Kluyveromyces lactis: one gene and its partners. The protein of the gene in region 4 interacts with the protein of the main gene of each other region in a biochemical or structural test. Links are inferred from orthologs where the notes say so. Each region holds a gene or a part of one and is shown on either strand. Other genes may lie near its edges.

Evidence for each region.
Region 1: the proteins of REV1 (region 4) and RAD30 form a complex in vitro, tested with the Saccharomyces cerevisiae proteins (3 studies listed by BioGRID). The link is inferred for Kluyveromyces lactis from reciprocal best matches to the Saccharomyces cerevisiae genes REV1 and RAD30.
Region 2: the proteins of REV1 (region 4) and POL32 form a complex in vitro, tested with the Saccharomyces cerevisiae proteins (2 studies listed by BioGRID). The link is inferred for Kluyveromyces lactis from reciprocal best matches to the Saccharomyces cerevisiae genes REV1 and POL32.
Region 3: the proteins of REV1 (region 4) and RAD5 form a complex in vitro, tested with the Saccharomyces cerevisiae proteins (2 studies listed by BioGRID, with this or other methods). The link is inferred for Kluyveromyces lactis from reciprocal best matches to the Saccharomyces cerevisiae genes REV1 and RAD5.

Annotation. Positions count from the first base shown.
Region 1 is NC_006037.1:167,309-171,705, reverse strand, and holds RAD30 (DNA-directed DNA polymerase eta), read left to right. Parts: upstream 1-1,882; coding exon 1,883-3,820; downstream 3,821-4,397. Other genes in the region: KLLA0_A01870g (acyl-CoA-binding domain-containing protein), read left to right, coding at 721-1,602; HKR1 (Hkr1p), read left to right, coding at 4,302-4,397. UniProt on the Saccharomyces cerevisiae protein: DNA polymerase specifically involved in DNA repair. Plays an important role in translesion synthesis, where the normal high fidelity DNA polymerases cannot proceed and DNA synthesis stalls. Plays an important role in the repair of UV-induced pyrimidine dimers.
Region 2 is NC_006041.1:1,996,154-1,999,933, forward strand, and holds POL32 (DNA polymerase delta subunit POL32), read left to right. Parts: upstream 1-2,033; coding exon 2,034-3,203; downstream 3,204-3,780. Other genes in the region: KLLA0_E22397g (uncharacterized protein), read left to right, coding at 740-1,618. UniProt on the Saccharomyces cerevisiae protein: DNA polymerase delta (DNA polymerase III) participates in chromosomal DNA replication.
Region 3 is NC_006042.1:1,601,755-1,606,877, reverse strand, and holds the start of RAD5 (DNA helicase RAD5), read left to right. Parts: upstream 1-2,246; coding exon 2,247-5,123. Other genes in the region: STO1 (Sto1p), read left to right, coding at 1-422; DLT1 (Dlt1p), read right to left, coding at 654-1,634. UniProt on the Saccharomyces cerevisiae protein: Probable helicase, member of the UBC2/RAD6 epistasis group. Functions with the DNA repair protein RAD18 in error-free postreplication DNA repair.
Region 4 is NC_006042.1:2,180,195-2,185,556, reverse strand, and holds REV1 (deoxycytidyl transferase), read right to left. Parts: upstream 3,572-5,362; coding exon 1,082-3,571; downstream 1-1,081. Other genes in the region: pyruvate kinase PYK2, read left to right, coding at 1-806. UniProt on the Saccharomyces cerevisiae protein: Deoxycytidyl transferase involved in DNA repair. Transfers a dCMP residue from dCTP to the 3'-end of a DNA primer in a template-dependent reaction.

The sequences.
Region 1 (4,397 bases), on a different chromosome or scaffold from region 4:
GCTGATCCATCATCTGATATTTGTGGCAGCATATCCGAAGTATAGTTCTTTCGAGTTTTTTCAATGGTATTGATACTTTTATTTTCCAACGTACTAAGATCCAATTTAATAGCAAACAATATTAAATCTTTGTCTATTACTCACCAAGATATACCTGAAATCTCTTTTGTGAGTTGGTTATATTGGTCCATTTCACTGACAAACATTATATTCTTTCGACATTGTATTTCTCTTGTTTCACTTGTCGGATCATAATTTGAAATGAAGTATACTTTTCTGTGACTTTTAAGGGTTTTCATGCTATTGTTTAGTACTTGATAGCAAAATGGGACTGTACAAATATAGTTCTTTCTCTCATGTGATTGATTGACTTATGAGAAGCAGGTGCTTCTATTAGAAAATCGTTTACTTGTGGGCCCTGATTCTTATGGTTATATAGTATTTTTGCACATAGTTTTTTTTCCATGCAGTGGACGTTGATTCCCATTGTAACCTTGTGGAGCGCTGTAATACTCTAACAGGTATCTTAAAGCACCGACAGCGGTCCATCCGATACGCCTCTTACTTTTCAAGCGTTGATGATGTATCCTTTCCACTGTATTAAAGAGCATCATCATGACTTAAAGAAAAAGATAACAAAATGAAAACCATGCAGACCGTTCAATGTTGTACACCTTAAAGTAAAATAAGAAATAACAAGGACAAGCTGGAAGACCGTTGATGCCGTTACCGCTACAAGAAAGTACAATGTCCGATGACTCTGTAGATCGTGTGTTTGAGAAAGCTATTGTTACAATTCAAACCCTTTCCTCTCAAAAAGGGTATCACTCATTACCAAGACCACCAGCGAATGTGAGGATTCAACTATATGCATTGTTCAAACAGTCCACAGAAGGAGACGTCAGCCATATATTGGATAAGCCGGACGGTAATCCTACATCACCGGATTATAACTTAGCCTTACGTAAATGGGAGGCATGGAAGAGTAAGGAAGGATTGTCGAAGACTGAAGCTAAAAGAGCCTACATTGAATTGTTGATCCACACCATGAAGACATACGCTATGGGGACCATCGTTGCGCGAGAACTACTTTCAGAATTAGAGTTTATGTGGTGGCAGATAAGCCATTCTAATACGTTTGATGGAAATGAGGGGCCTGAATATCAAGATGAAACGAATAGTGTATTGATGCTAACAAATGATAACGACATGGATAACGGATCAGAGAAGATTAGAAGAGAAGTATATGAGACTCTCGCTACCCTACGACCCAATTCAATCCAAAATGGTATAAGTCTCGCGCCGATCGGATCAGGTCTATCTGATAAGAGTGAAGAATTCTATGCTATTTGGATCACCCTCAAAAGAATACTGACAAAGCTTCTCACAATCAGTAGAGGCATAGTAACATACCTCGGGAAGCGTATAATGTCTCAATCGCTCATACTACTATTCATGTTGTTTGTCGTAAAATATTCCGACAAATCTATTGATCTAGCTCTAGATAAAGTAGACTCCCGTCATTCTTCATGGATATCTAAACTAATTCAGTTATTAAGCCAATTCACAGGGATAAGTAAGGTCAGTCTACAAGTTCAATAATTAAGTAAATAAGTCATCGCGTCCTACTAGCCATACACCTAGAGTGGTGAGGAACTGAATTATATGCATTTAAGTAATGACTCTTTATCGGCGTTCCTATTCCTATTTACTTTTTTCTTTTTGAACAAGTCATCTCATCTCATCTCTTGTTCTGTTGAATTGTACGGGGTTCATTAAAACAAGTGCCTTAGTACAACGTAGATATTCGAAGTGAAATGGAAACTAAAGTAAGCAGCTGGGTGCTAAAGATCGCATTTCAGGAAATTGATGGTATAGCATAATGTCGAAATACAGATGGCGAGATTTGATTGATTTGAATGACAAAGAGAAGAGCTTTCTTTCTCCATTAGCATGCATTGCACACATTGATGTCAATGCCTTTTTTGCACAGGTAGAACAGGTACGATGCGGTTTTTCAAGGGATGATCCGGTAGTTGCAGTACAATGGACTAGTATTTTAGCCGTTTCTTATGCAGCTCGAAAGTATAATGTGTCCCGCATGGAGAGCATACTTGATGCGATAAAAAAGTGTGATAAAATCATTCCGATACACACAGCTGTTTTCCGTAAAGGGGAAGACTATTGGCAGTACCATGATGGGTGCGGATCATGGGTAGAAGACGAGAGTAAAAAGTTAAGTCCAACAAACTATAAAGTTGCCTTAGAACCGTACAGAAGAGAAAGTCGCAAACTCATCAAATTATTTCAAGATGAATACGATTTAGTTGAGAAAGCCAGTGTGGACGAAGCTTTCATAGAATTGGGACGCAAATTATTTTATGAACTTCTCATGGATGATTCCTATACCGATTTTGCTGATATTAGGGGTATTTTCCAGGATGGAAGGTACGATTTAAATGACCATTTACCCAGTTTACCAACTAAACTCAGCATTCAGTTCAGTGGAGAGGTATTCAATTCACAGAATAGGCCCTTATTTGAGGATTGGGATGATGTCCTTATGTGCTTAGCAAGTAATTCTACTAACACAATCAGAAACCAAATTGATGATATGTTGGGATATACCACATCTTGTGGTATATCAATGACGAAGAATCTTAGCAAGCTTGCTTCTAATTACAAGAAACCCAATGCGCAAACCATTGTAAAGAACAACTGTATAGATGATTTCCTTGATTGCGGGAAGTTTGAAATCAATTCCTTTTGGACATTGGGTGGCATACGTGGAAAGGAATTAATTGATTTGATGGAACTTCCCAAAGAACATTCTATAAAGTTCATTAGAGATTCATGGCCAGTTTCAAGCGATGACATCAGAAAATTCATGCTCAAGAAAATCATATGCAGAGATATACAAAGGTCTAGAGAGTACAACATTAATGAAGCCGATGTTGCCAAAATAAGTGCGAAAATCTATCAATTAGTAAGAGGCCAATTCAGGTTGCCTGTCGAACCGCGACCATTGCCAAAATCTATGATGTCGAAGAAAAATTTGAGAAATGATGATTGTGCTAGCGTTATTGACTGCATTGAATGGCTTGAAATCTTTTGCAGTGAACTAAACTACCGTGTACATGACTTAGAACAAGAATATGAAAAGGTAATAATGCCAAGAACAATTGTTATCATGATTAAGGGCAAAGCAGGCATGAAATATACTCAAACCCGAAGAATCACTACCGCTTCAAGTAGTATAACGTCCAGAGAGTTATTCATCAATGCAACAAAATTGATAAACGAGATTGATAAGCAACATGGCAAGCTTGCCGGTGTTTACCCTTTGAGAGAACTCTCGTTGACTCTTTCCAATTTTGATATAATAGACAAGGGGAAAACTGTCCTTGATATGTTCGGTAATCGAGCAATCTCAAAATCATCTTCAACTGATAACAACGTCGTAAAGATAGAAGGTGAAGACATACATTCAGATTCGAAAGGTGGCCCTTATGATGCGTCTGTTTCAGAGACACTCGAGGGAGAACCACCAAGTGCTTCTTCTCCTCCTACAATGGCTGAAAATTTAACTTGCAAACAGTGCGGGGAAACTCTACAGGACAAAAAACTGTTCCAAGAGCACGTCGATTATCATCTATCAGTTCAATTATCAGAACAGATTAACGGAGTATCAGAGAACTCAACAATGCTGACGCACGCAGAAAGAATCCTTCTCTTCGGAAAGAAAGCTAAGAAGAATGCCGCATCAGTGCAAAAACCCAAAAAAAAAGATGGAGGAATCATGAAGTTCTTCAAGAAGTGATAAATCTCCACCCACATATACTTGTATATTTATAGTTAATCGTATCATCGTCTTACCAGTGGCATTTATATGAGGAGCGTGGTTAGTAACGAGGTTCCAGTCGCATATCCGGGTAATATCTTGCTTTTCGTCTTTCTTTCTTTTCTGAATTCCACATTCGATTTCGAACTTAAAATAGACAATTAAGAGATCCAATGTTTGTTAAATAAGTGTGTAAGTTGTAATTTTAGCCAGATCTTTTTAACCTCAAAAGGTCAACAGGAAGAGGGAAGCAAGCGATACCCAGCGTTAAAAGCAGCTAACGCACACATATTCTCTGAACAGCTTCCAGGCTGTTATACAGCTACTTTGGACTACAACTCATTTTCTTTTACAAGAACCACCTCATTAAATCTGGAGAAGCTTTCATTCTCAGATTATAGACGACATTCTCATTTGGATGTGTTTTGTCAAATCAAGATTCTACTATTGATACCTTTGAATGCACGTACGACGTAATACCTACCATTATCCACTGCTGTGGCTATTTGCTCTTATAATATGTTGCGAAGGACGGATACTTCCGAGCTGGTTTTGG
Region 2 (3,780 bases), on a different chromosome or scaffold from region 4:
TTCTTGCGGATTCTTCCCTCCCCACATTATTGAAACCTAATCTGAATCGGCACAGTATGAGCTAGTACATTGTAGGCCGATTCAGTCCCAAATTCGAGCAAGCTCTTCCTTGTTGTGGAAATCTGGGATTTTCTTTTTTTCCTTTTCTTTATTTGTCGACCTTGAAGTTTCACCGGTTTCAAAAGAAAAAAGATGACACCGAGGCTATTTTTTTTTTTTTTTTTTTTTGGATTTCCCGCCGCTTGCAGGTACAACGGCTTCTGTGGGAAAACACTGATCAAGAAGCTGAGTCGAGGTGATGTATGTTTAGGGATCCGTATTGATTGCTTGGAAAAAAAATACATCGGGGCAGTAATAAAGGAAGGACACTGGCTTGAGGAATCAAATAGATGACTTGTCCCTCAGTTGCATTACACATACTTGTACGGTATATATGTGTGCATGTGTGGGGGGTGGGTGGAAAGGCACAAAGCAAGGTAGCTTTTTTTTTTTTTGATTTGATTCCTGAGATGTTTGTATGTTCTAAACCATATAATTTTTCAAGTGAAATACTTCTAAGTTTATCCGAAGAAACGAAAATACAAATTATGCATATATAAATAATTGTAACTTTTTAGTTTCAACCCTATTGCTGCTCCAATCTTGCTTGCAATATGCTTTATTCCCTCAATTGGGTTCATAATTGGGAAATTTGAACAAGCGAAATCCACACTATCAATTAACCTCATCAGACACAGATATGTCATTCCAAAGTTTCATCAAGACTCCAACTGAAGACACCGTCGTTCCACAAGCTCCTCCAACGGAACAGTACCCACAAGGTGTCAATTACCTCAATTTGTTCAGTCAAAAGGGCAAATTGACCGTTATTACTGGTGGTGCTGGTGCCATTGGTGGCGCTCTATGTGAGGGTTTCGCTTCTTGTGGTTCAGATGTCATTATTTTGGACAGAACCTTCCAACCAGAACTTTCCGTCCATTTGAGCAAGACTTACGGGATTGAATCCAAGTCATACCAAGTAGATATTACCAACGCTGACGACGTTAAATTTGTCTTTGAAAGAATCTTGGAAGATTTCCCAGGTCGTGCAATTAACACATTCATTGCTAACGCAGGTATTGCCTGGACTAACGGTTCTATCTTGAACGATGGTTCCACCCCAGAAATGTGGCGCAGAGTCATGGACGTTAACGTCCAAGGTACTTACCACTGTAGCAGGTACGCTGCTGAAGTATTCAAGAACCAAGGCCACGGTAATTTGATCTTGACTGCTTCTATGTCTAGTTACATCAGTAACGTTCCAAACTACCAAACCTGTTACAACGCTTCTAAAGCTGCAGTAAGACACATGGCCAAGGGTTTCGCCGTCGAATTCTCTGGTTTGACCTCTCCAGCTGGTAAGATCAGATGTAACTCTGTATCACCAGGTTACACTGATACTCTGCTATCCTCCTTCGTTCCTACTGAACAACGTGCTCACTGGTGGGGTCTAACACCAGTGGGTCGTGAAGCTTTGCCACAAGAATTGGTCGGTGCTTACTTATACTTGGCTTCCGATGCTGCTTCTTACACCAACGGTTGTGATATCCAAGTTGACGGTGGTTATACCTGTGTTTGAATCCTGTTGTAGAAAAAGCTTCGTCAACACCTATTACTGATAATTGTCACTGCCTTTTCCCCTACATCATGCTCAAAATATTTCTGTTTAACCTAACTACATTAAAAATAGAGTTAAAACTAGAGTGGTTCCTTCTCTTTCACATACTATGTAATAATTTTATATACCCAATTCTTATATGGGGTGATCATTAGTATCATACATCGACCCTTTCACTACTATTGCGAAGCTTCCCCCCATTGAGCCTTAATGTCTAATTGTCAACACTTTGTTACGCGTAAACGGTGCTAACCAAAAAAAAAAAAGACGCAACTTCACTCAATCATCATTTAGTGCTATCTGCACAGAGCGATGAGAATTGAAGAGAGAGAATAATAAAAAGAGCAAGCAAGCTCGAGCTGATCATCATCGAAATATGGTAACAGCGATAGAGAATTTTATCACGCAGAAACTCATCAATGACTGTAAACCTGTAACATTTTTAGACTTGTGCGATGAGTTTTCGATAAATGTGAACAAAGCAAAGAATGAGATGGTACAGTACTATAGCACTACGAGACATGAGTCGATCCAATGCATTGTAGTATGTGTTTTGAAGCACAATGTAATACAAATGATTACGGATCCCGAGAAACTACCGGAAAAGGAAGACATAAAGGATTTCTTCATCTATGCGTTCAACCCACTGGAAACTATTGATTTGACAAATAGAGAAAGAACACACGTTACGATCAAGAACCCCTACAAGCTGCACAATCAAAATGGCACACGGCCCCAGACAAGCGATGGTATTGGAAGTGTAATTAACATAACCACCCAAGATGTGACTCAAAAAATGGTGGCCGGCCCCAAGAAAAAGTCTGAGGCAGAACCGGTCGTAACGAAGCAACGGGCAAAGACGTTCCCAGAAGTTGCTGTTACAAAACCTAAGAAACCAACTAAGAGTATGGGTCTAAAATCTACTGAACTTCTGGCCAGAATGAGAAGAGAAAGAGAGGAGAAGGAGAAGAACAGACAAGAGGAATTGGAAAGGAGGAAGCACCAGCAGCAGGATAAAAATCACGTCGTGGTAAGCCAAGAGAAACAAAAACAATTGGACCAACTGGCCTCGATGTTTGACGATGATGATGACGATGATTTAGCCCAATTCGATAAAAATTCTAAAAAGCGTGATAAGAAAGAGGAAAGCGAAGAAGAGGCTGAAGTAAACCACCCTGTAGCGATAGAATCAGTACCTTCACAAGAATCACAACCAGTAAATCTAGACCGCACTGTCACAAACTTAGAAGAACTACTTGACACGACGGTAGACGAATCCTTAATGGAACTATCTCAACCAGAAAAGGAAAAGGAAAAGGAAAAAGAAGAGCCAGTCCACGAATCGAAAGAACAGACCACATATATAGACGAAGATGGATACATGGTTACTAAGAGACCAGCTACAGAAACGAAGAAACCACCAAAGCCTGTGAAATCAGCGAAAACGGCAGAACCGTCAAAGAAACCAGCAACACCAGTCGAGAAAAAGAAGGCTCGCTCCAGTCAACGTACACTTGAGAGTTTTTTCGGTAAGAAAAAGGGATGAGTAAATTAACTTGTGTATTTATTCAAATAGTTTCAAATAGATTCGGATGATACAGACGATACAAACGCTGGCACTGGCACTGACACCTAGATAGAAATATACGGCGACTCACGTGACCCAAAACAAAACATTAACACGTGAATAAGTTACCCGAATACACCGTACGCAACGATGTGAACAGGCCACCACGTCCCCTTCTTTGTGCGATTTCTTCTATCAGAGAAAAGGGGTGGTTAATATCGTTTCAAACGATTTATCTTGCCCTTTCTATTGAGATTGAAATTTAAGAATTTTGGATTAACAAAGATTATAAGACAGAGGAAATGATTAACTACCACATTGCCAGACAGCTTGTACGGCAATAAATTAATTGGTGTTTCATTATACTTTATTAAAGAGTGAGTTCACAAAAGTTAGATCGCTATAGCTTTAGACTGGGTTTTGAAGATTATTGCTCAATCACTTATCGCCCGTTGAAAATCTTTCCTTTTTATTTTGGACCGATATTCCAAATTACTCTTTCAATTGAATATTATCATCGCATTTTAAGAGTCCAAACGTTTTAAAGTTACTTCTG
Region 3 (5,123 bases), about 580 kb from region 4:
CTTTGACCGAACAGTGTGGAGTAAACATGAGTCTCGTCGACTCTACTTCTATTGAGTCTATTTTCAGAATTTTGAATGAGCTGGCTATGGCTGCTGACAAAGATGTTGGTTCTTTTGAGTATGTCTTCAACAGGTTGGTGGGTGCTGCTAACGAGGTATTGTCGCAATTGAACACTATTGATCCAATTGTTGTTCCAGATCTTGATCAAGACATTCAGGCAACAGACGAAGAGTTACCATCATTAGACCTTGCGTGGAAATACGAAGCAATTATGGGTTTCTTAAAGAGTGTGCTCAGAAAATACTCGGATGAGTTTAGCGTTCTGACGGAAAAGTTCATCAATGATGTATTACAAGGCGTGCCACATGAACCCACCAAGCAACAATTGAACAGATGGATTTCGGAAGTTTCAGAATTATGAGCGTGAACCAGAACTACTTGCCAGCTTATATCCAGGTATATTGATTTCGAATTGACATCAAAGTTCTCGATACGATGGGTTGTTTGCTAATGATACCCTCCTAGTCATGTTCTCTTTTTTGATGCCTTTCTGCATCGTTGTGTATTATATAAGATAAGAGTCGTTGTTGTTTATAATTATTAAGTCCAAAAGCTTTAATTAATAAGTTACAGAAACTGTCCGGTATTTTAATCATCTATGTATGACGGTATTGTAAGTGTCTACTCTAGTGAGCATGTCATGATATCTTTGTTGGTCTTCCACAGATTCTGGTGGTTCTGCAGACTCATCTATATCGTAACTGAAGTTACTGGAGCGAGAGCCCACATGTGATGCAGGGGTTGTATTATGCATGAAGGCGTCAGACGGGTAAGGTCGTAAATATGGAGTTGAGAATTCGGAGTCCGTTCTAGATCTGGCATCAGTGTCATAATCTTCAGTAGGAACGTGAAGAAATTGGGATGGGACAGACTCGATTCTTGTTAAATCCAAATTATTCGATAAATCAGCGAGATATTTGTAGAGTCTTAAGAATTTTACGAAATCGTTTCGTTCAATATCTTGTCCACTAAATCGGAATTTCTCATAAAGCGAGATAAACTCATCCAAATACTGCTTATAAGGGTGTTTTTCATTCTCGAAAAGTTTATGAAGTGCTGTTTTGAAAGTTGTACTGAGATCCGATTCAGTGACAAAATTCAACAGCAAAGCCCCGTCGAATCTAAACCTATCAGAGATAAATTTAACAATTTCCGCATATTTCAAGTGTTCAGGAAACATATCACTGTCTTTTGGTTCCATGCCAGCATGTAAGACAGGCTCTTTCGGTACTTTAAACTTTTCCGCCAATTCTCCAGCTCTCTTCATATTTTCAATCACATATTCCCTTGAAGGTTTATGACGCATATCCTGCGCAGTTACTGGAATGTATTTCTTCGGTATATCTTGTAATGATCTTCGAAAGATCAATACACGAGCAAAACTAATAGAAATCCCAAATACCACTAATACAACAGCTGCACCGACCACAATAAAGGTATTAACTGCATCGTTGCTAGAGTCTGACGCTTGCACAATACAATCTAAAGGAACAACAACAGAAAAACCAACAAATAAAAGGATGAATATCACCTGCGTGGTATGATACCATATTTTATACCAACTTGTTACCATTCCAACTCATCTCTATAACAGTTATAATATAACATATAATCTCACACAGTGTGTCGAAAACGTACTTCTAAACGGAGATAAGTATTGGATGGAAACAGTCCTGGATTACAGTCTTCTCTGGTAGTAATTGAACTTAAACCCCGCAGAACCCCGCTATTTTCAGTTATCCAGAGTTAAGTCCGATCTTTTCGGGATTGTTAGCACTAAAACTCATATAGAATCCAAGTTCTTTCTCTCTCTCTCTCTATACTTTTATTGTCTGACATTGGGAAATGAAATTGTTTCGATGCTTTGAAATTTCAGCTTGTGGTACTTCATAGGAATACGAACCGATTTCTCTTTTGTTTCTATTTTGTTTCTTATTTCCATTATGTTTCCACAACGTGGTATTTTCTGGAAGTTTTCAAGTTCGAAGTTTTTTTTATTCACAAAAACTTTATTCATTTACGCGTCACGTGCGTTTGTTTTGCATTAAGAAATTGTTAACTTATTCGCGTCTCATCTCAGCTCATCTCTTTACTAATCATTTCAGGCACAGCAAAGGAATACTTGGAACACTACCCATATATATCTTTCAGTTGACCTGATTCTAGCAATACGGGCACCCAAAGTATGACACAGCCGCAAAAAGCTGATGAAAAACCAAGGTTCTTTCGTGATGAAGATGAATCTGTAATAAATTTGAACGAATCTCGATCTCTTTTTGTACAGGATGAGGCAGATGATTCTGATGATGGCCAAGGACATGTTGAAAGTTCCTCAGAAGTATCAAGTAATACATCTAATCATAAGGAAAGGTTTTTTGAATCTTTGAAGGAGATTCTTGGAGAAAATATGATTTCGTCCTCTCAACTCCACACTCTTTGGAGTTCATATGGTCTGCTCAAAGATGGTATAAGTATTGCAGCTGATAAATTCTTTGAGGACAAGGAATTACTTTCCAAAAGTAAAACTGAATCTAAAATGCCGGCTGGTGATAATATAGAGGTGATAGATTTGTCGGATGAAGAAAATGATGACGAATTGTCTATTCTGCCGTCTTCGTCCCAATTATCCCAACTGTTTACAAATAAGAGGACCAGCACCCAAGCAGGTTTAGAATCACCTATGTCATCTGACAAGGGAAGGAACCGATGGTCTCGTTACATTGGGTCTATTCATACTATGGGATTCGCTACACGGCCAACCGTAAAACCAGTTCCTATCGGATCCCGTTTAGGTTTTAAAAAATCTGTACCGAAGGATCTTCCCTTAGGTAAATCACTTCAGCACCAGCACTGTTCGCATTTAGTTCGCTTAATCGATACCTCACAGGATAGAGAACTTGGTCGAATGCCTGAAGATGTTGCAAGAATATTGTACCCACTTTTAGACTACAGCGAACAGGTCAGTCTGGAGCCATATCTTCTCATTAATAATGGTAAGAGATTCAGTGTTGGAGATAATATTTACATCAGAATTGATTGTTATTTGACCTCACAGGCTTTCGTCCGCATTGAAGGCGGAAGTATTCTGAACAAATCTTTTATCAATGACCATGGCATGGACACACGTCAGTTGCATCGCGCCGGAGCGATAATGGCATTGTTTGATGCGATAAATATACAACCAGTGTACGGAGACACCAAAAATGAGATGATACCTAACTACCAAGAAAACACTGTTTCTAGTTCCCAGTTTCAGGATGAAGCTTTGAACATCAATCAACTAAAATCATTTTACAGAATTACACAGTCCGCGGCCTCATTGCAAAACTTACCAGAAACTACCCCAGATGAATCACTTTTTAAATTGCAATTGAGAAGGTACCAAAAGCAAAGTTTGTCATGGATGCTCAAAAGAGAATACGAGTATAGTCATTTATCAGAGAAAGCCGCAGAAGTGTCTATTGATGGGAATAGTATGAATCCACTATGGAAGAAATTCCGCTGGCCATCTAATTCAAAACAAGGGACTCCAAACCACGAAGATGATTGCTTCTTTTATGCTAATTTATACACTGGTGAGTTTTCTATCGAGAAGCCGGTCATTAAGACGATAATCAATGGAGGTATTTTGGCGGATGAGATGGGTCTAGGGAAAACAATATCAGCTTTAGCATTGATTTGTACTGCTAGCTATGATGAGGCTCATGAAAAGAAAATTGAGTCAACCAAAAAGCCTTCTATGAAGGAGATGTCTTCTCAAGTGGATTCCTCTCCATTACGCCATTCTCAACATAAGCATGACACTTATGCTTACAGGACGACGTTGATAGTAGTGCCGATGTCCTTATTGAATCAGTGGCAATCAGAATTCGAAAAGGCCAACAAGGACCTCAAAAAACGTTGTGAAATTTATTACGGGAATAATATTAAAGATTTAAGGGCGTATGTGCTTGGCCCCAACGCTCCCTCAGTAATCATAACTACTTATGGGATAATTCAGAGCGAATATGGGAGAACCTCAACATCGGGATTATTCAATGTGGTCTTCTTTAGAATAATATTGGATGAAGGTCATACGATTAGAAATAGAAGTACAAGGACATCTAAAGCTGTCATAGCCTTGCGGAGTTCCAGAAAATGGATCTTGACAGGAACACCAATCATCAATCGACTTGACGATCTATTTTCCTTAGTTCAGTTCTTGAACTTAGAGCCCTGGTCTCACATCAACTATTGGAAGCGTTACGTTTCAGTTCCTTTCGAGAAAGGTAACTATGCGCAGGCATTTGATGTCATAAATGCAGTATTGGAGCCTGTGCTTCTCAGAAGAACGAAGAATATGAAGGATGTTGATGGCAAACCTTTAGTCTCTTTACCTCCAAAGGAAGTAATCGTCGAAAAGTTGCAACTTTCATCCAGTGAGAAAAGAGTTTATCAATCCATGTTAGAAGATGCGGAAAACTCTGTTAAAGAAGGGTTGGCCAAAGGTGATCTATTGAAGAACTACACTAATATCTTGGTCCATATTTTAAGACTTAGACAAGTCTGCTGTCATTTGGATTTACTCAAAAAGACACCAGATCTCGGAGACCCAGATCTTGAAGATCTGGAGAACTCAACTCAAAACATCTCCTCCATCCTCATGCCAAAAAATATTAAGTCACCAAAAAGTTCCATTTCTCAAGATAAATTGGATGCTTTAAGTGCGAACTTTCGTGATATTCACAGCGCTTCAGAGCAATTACCTTCTTTTGAATGTGCTATTTGCACCACTGAGTGTATTGAACCGCTGTCTGCGGTCTCTATAACAGAGTGTCTCCACACATTTTGTGAACCTTGTTTGGCAGAATACATTGAATTTCAGCAAAATAAAAAACTATCCATCAACTGTCCATATTGTAGAATGCCGATCTCAGAAGCTAATGTGTTAAAGCTAAAGGAGCCAATTGATGCTGAAAGAGGATATGAACTAATTTCGTTTCATTCACATTTCCAATCGACTAAAATTAAAGCTTTATTGAGGCATCTCAAGCAAATACAAGAAACTTCTCCTGGTGAACAA
Region 4 (5,362 bases):
AGGATATCAAGATCATTGTTAAGATTGAAAACCAACAAGGTGTCAACAACTTTGACGATATCTTGAAGGTCACTGACGGTGTTATGGTTGCTAGAGGTGATTTGGGTATTGAAATTCCAGCTCCTCAAGTGTTTGCTGTGCAAAAGAAGTTGATTGCTAAGTGTAACTTGGCTGGTAAGCCAGTTATCTGTGCTACCCAAATGTTGGAATCCATGACCTACAACCCAAGACCAACCAGAGCTGAAGTCTCTGATGTTGGTAACGCCGTTCTTGATGGTGCTGACTGTGTTATGTTGTCTGGTGAAACTGCCAAGGGTAACTACCCAATCAATGCCGTTAAGACCATGGCTGAAACTGCTTTGATTGCTGAACAAGCCATCCCATACATCCCAACTTACGATGACTTAAGAAACTTGACTCCAAAGCCAACCTCAACCACTGAAACTATCGCTGCTGCTTCTGTTTCTGCTGTATTTGAACAAAAGGCCAGAGCTTTGATTGTCCTATCCACCACCGGTGACACTCCAAGATTGGTTGCCAAGTACAAGCCAAATGTCCCAATTGTTATGGTTACTAGAAACCCAAGAGCTGCTAGATTCTCTCATCTATATAGAGGTGTCTTCCCATTCGTATACGATGAATCCTCTGACTCCGAATGGACTGTCGATGTTGAAAAGAGAATCAACTTCGGTGTCAAGAAGGCCAAGGAATTCGGAATTTTGGTTGACGGTGACACCATTGTCACCATTCAAGGTTTCGCCGCTGGTGTCGGTAACTCCAACACTCTACGTGTCTTGACCGTTTAAGATACTGGGTAAAATTGGACTAAAATCTTGTCGATCACCATTAGACTTGATTATGCAACTTATGAAGCCATAGACAAACATTTTCTAATTAATATATATATTTTAGGTAAAGAAAAAGACAATTAGATTGTACTCTACTATTATACTTACGTTGTGTCGAAAGATGAATAATTAATAAACAAATGAGTGCATGGAAAGAGTAATTACTAATTAAAAAAATTGGGCGCAATGATCATGCATGCTTTCATCCCAACAAGTATTAGATGGATATTCAATTATAAATCAAACACTAAGTTGAACTTCACATCAGGTTTTGCTTTATTTAATATAGGAATTAGTCGACGAATCAAGAAGTATTCCCATTGCTCTAAACCTTCATGATTCGCGTTGTAGTGATCATCAACCCTATTTTTTATGGTTTTAATCAAATGTAGTATAATATGACATCTGCCTTGCTCCGCTAACTTATCAAGATAGCTAGTGAATAACTCAAGATCTTTTTCATGGGGGCCATCCTCCACTGTGGCGTCCACCCAGTCGATAAGAGTTTCAGAAATCTGTTTCGCAGAACTTAATCCCTGGAACGAAAGCTGCGGAACAAGCCTCCCATCGTGTATGAAGTGTAAATCTTGCGTCTGCTTAATTTGCTTTCTGGGATCATCGTACAATTTTGTTCTCAAAGAACGATTGGCTTTTTTAACAACCTTATGATGAGATGTAATCTCTTCTTGAACATCTTTGGGTAAATTGGACATAAATTCAGGATCGAGTTGGTCAGGAAAGTCATATTGAAATGGGGTGATACTTCGCTTTAGATGGCGATCCCAATAGTTTTTTACGGGAGAAGTATATGTTGGGTTAACTGGAGTATGTGGCTCGGCTACTTTGGAGGGTTCGTTAGTGATGTCATCATCCGGATGGTCTCGTTTTCTAAATAAATCAGTCGTAATTTCCCTTTGTTCCGACTTTTGCCCCACTTTTTGGTTCGAATCAGTTAACCTGTGAAATTGAATACCAATTCCTCTAACTTCCTCTGGAGGAACACTTAAGATTCTAAATAAAGTTTTACATTCCGAAGCAATTGTACCAAATTTTTGTGTATTAGTTCCTAAGTTACTGACTTTACTAAGAGCGTCACATTTACCCATACCCATGAATTTTGGTGGATCTACAGGTGCGCCTTGAGCTCTCTTCATTAATTTCAAAGTTATTTGTCTTGTCATTAAATTTGAATCCCTAAGTTTTTCCCATAAATGGAGTGCGAGCCGTTCAAGGAAAATATCAACATCGTCTATGGTCTTAAACCTTATGGCATAATTTATTTCTACTGAGAGGGATTTCTTTTGAAAGTACGTATGAGGATCCTTTACCATACTTATGGATTCGTCGTCATCTTTACCATCAAGGTAAATCTGAAGTTTCTTGGTATTTTTGGAACCAATCACTTTTATTAGTTTAGAAACGTTGCTTGGCCTTTCTAAAAGATCTCTTAAGTCAGAGATGTTTTGAACATTTCCAAATTGTTCTTTTATTTTCAGATCTGTGCTATAACCAATACCAGGAAGATCTTTTAACTTAAAGTGATCTATGAATGCATGGCATTCAGTAACAGTATCAAACCAAGAAATATGGAACCCGTTTGGTTTCCCTTTCCTTAGGGCTAAACGAGCTAGCAATACGGATGGCCCGCACCCAACACTGACAGAGTATCCTTGAGTAACATTATAGACGGCATTTCTCACTTGCATGCATTTTTGAGTTAACAATTCAGAGGTAATATCGGGGGTAATCAACATGCAACCTATTGCTTCATCTATAGAAATTGGCAATACCATTTTGAAGATTCCAATATCTTTTAGAGCGCTGTAGAATAAATTTGAAATTGCTTCATATTCATCAAATTCATAATCTAATATTTTCAAGTCCGGGCATAGTTTCAAAGCAGATGATACCCACATACCGTTATAAACACCAAAAGAACGAGCCACATAATTGCAGCTGGATATATCAGAATTGTTGATACCATGAGAAATAGCGATAGGTGTGGCATGTATATCGTATTTACCATCGATTTTAGCAGACACTTGGGCAAAGAAGCAATCAAAGTCAATGTGGAAATACACATATTTTTGATCAGGAATTGTGTCGTTATATGACAAAATGAATTCTTTCACGAAGTTATCTCTTAACTGGAATTTCCAGTTCGATAAATGGTGTAGTCTTGAGGATTTGAAAAAAGCATTAATGAAGTTCGGATCCATACAGTTCCGTACTGTTGCGAAATCTGTAATCTTTCCCTGTAATCTGGAAACTTGGACAATTCTAAAGTCTTGCCATGGTAAAAGCTTCCCTCGAGCAATAGACTCAGTAACCCATTCGGGGCTGACAACCTTGAAATTGGCAAAAGATGATTTCTTGGATGCATTTAACTCTGTTGCAAGTATATGGGTGACTGCAGTCTTCCCACTAAGGTAATGCTTGAAAGTCCCACCATGTAAAATAATTAGTTTATGGAGTTGAAATCGAGTTGGATTCGTACGTCCATTCACATAGATAGTACACCCTTGAAAAAGTGTAGGATTTGAAACTCGATGTTCTTTTTGATATTTCTGTCTGAATTGAACATCACTTTCCAACTGTTGAAGTTCCTTATTATGAAAATATTCTCCATACCCTGAATATCCAACACTCGAGGAGGATGCTATATCTGGTTCATTTCTGTTGAAACTTGCAGTTACGTCTTGCTCCTCCTCTTTATTGTTCATGGCATTCGGAGTTATGAGTAAAACCAGTCCAGAACTCTGAAGTCTCCGTCAATGACCAGATAAGGACAAAAGGAAAATAAATGCTCAAGCTGATTATTGATAACACAAGGGCTGGAATCTGATAGATACACTATTGTTATAGCAAGGTACTTTCTAGAAGTACATTTGTGTCCGTATATTGATGTGTAGAACTCCTCCGCTGTTCAGAGTCCGCGTAGTCTCGATTTTTCCCTAACTTTGTTTATAAGTTATTGAAATCAGACAATGACCGATATACACACACGCACAGACACGACGGGAAACCAATGTTACCAAGCAAATCACAGTAATATTCAACCTCTTCCCATATTTTCTACTACTCTTTTTGTAAAGCTTCAAAAAATGGTTCCAGGGGGAAAAATGTTTGACTGCTTCCTTTTTTTTTCTAAGTGGATTTTTTTTCAAGATTTTCACCATACAAAGACAAAAACGTTGACCAGTTGGACGTAATCGTTCTAAAAGAACCGGTAGATCAATAAAAAAAAGATAAACAGTCCGGTTATTGTTGTTGATATCCAACCCCTCGCTAAGCTATGAAAATTGAAAGGTGTCTATTGGGAGACGTATGGTGCCACATATACCAGGGGCACAGGTTTGCCGTAGAAGCGATAGAAAGCATGCAATAAACGACGGTTGTTTATCCGAATCTGAACCCAAAAACCAAAGACAAACACGCAGCAGAAAAACAAAATGTTTTTCCGCAAAGCACTTTGTACGTCTTCTATTTTCTTTTTTTTGTCTTAGTTTTTCCGAGATGAGCAGCTGGAAATACTCAGTAGAAAGCTCAGTAGGAAAAACCACACCACTTCCCACGCATCTTGACGCAAAATTCCCATTCTGAGCATAATATTTTCCCATTCATTGAGCTTCCTATGTAAGGTTTATCCGACGTTTTATCTACTGCGGCGATTGCATGTTTGGCCCTTTTCACACCCTTCCACTGAAAAGCATGTTGAACAGGATTAAAACGCACGCCAGAGCACTAAGTGGTGCCATTCCCCTACGGATGAACCCAAAAACACACTGTCCATGAGCGGAAGCTGGCAGGAGTTAAGATGAAACGTTCCTTATCCTCTTCCCGTCCACGAAAGATATAGGCAGCGTTTCCAGAATGGGTGCACCCTAACATACGTATTTCCTAACGACCAGTTTGAAAATGGGCTGGAATGTGAACTATAATACGTTTTTCCCCTTTCCCCTCGCCAAGTTTTTGTTGGTCTTTTTTTGCTTTCTCTCTTTTCTTCTTTTACAACACATACAATGTAGCCGCAGGAATTTTTTTTCTAATATACTTCTGTAGCCGGAACATCGCTGTTGGATAAGGAATGGTCGCCGGAAAATCCTCATAATTTGCGCAGGCGCTATTTCCATTCCCATTGGCAACGGCTATTTTACGTATAGTTACTACTACTTTAAGTGTAAGACGATTTCCAGGATTCTATCGTGGATTATGGCACGCCTTGCTAGAGTCTTCTTTTGATTTAATTTTATCTCTTGTGTGCACGGAGGAAGTCCACTACTCAGGCATATTCTGTTGTCGGTTTGCATTGTGGTACCGAACATAAGCACGAAACTAGTGGTGAAAATGTCGTCTTCAATTTTCCCGTGCGTGTGATATTTCGGTATGTTACGGGCAGTGCGATATCTCTTAATTTGGCATGCTTCTTTAATCACCCACTGCTTTCTTTTTTTTCGCAACTTCTGGTTTCTCAAACGTAGAGCAAGAATGTATATCTTCTTGTCGCTGTAACA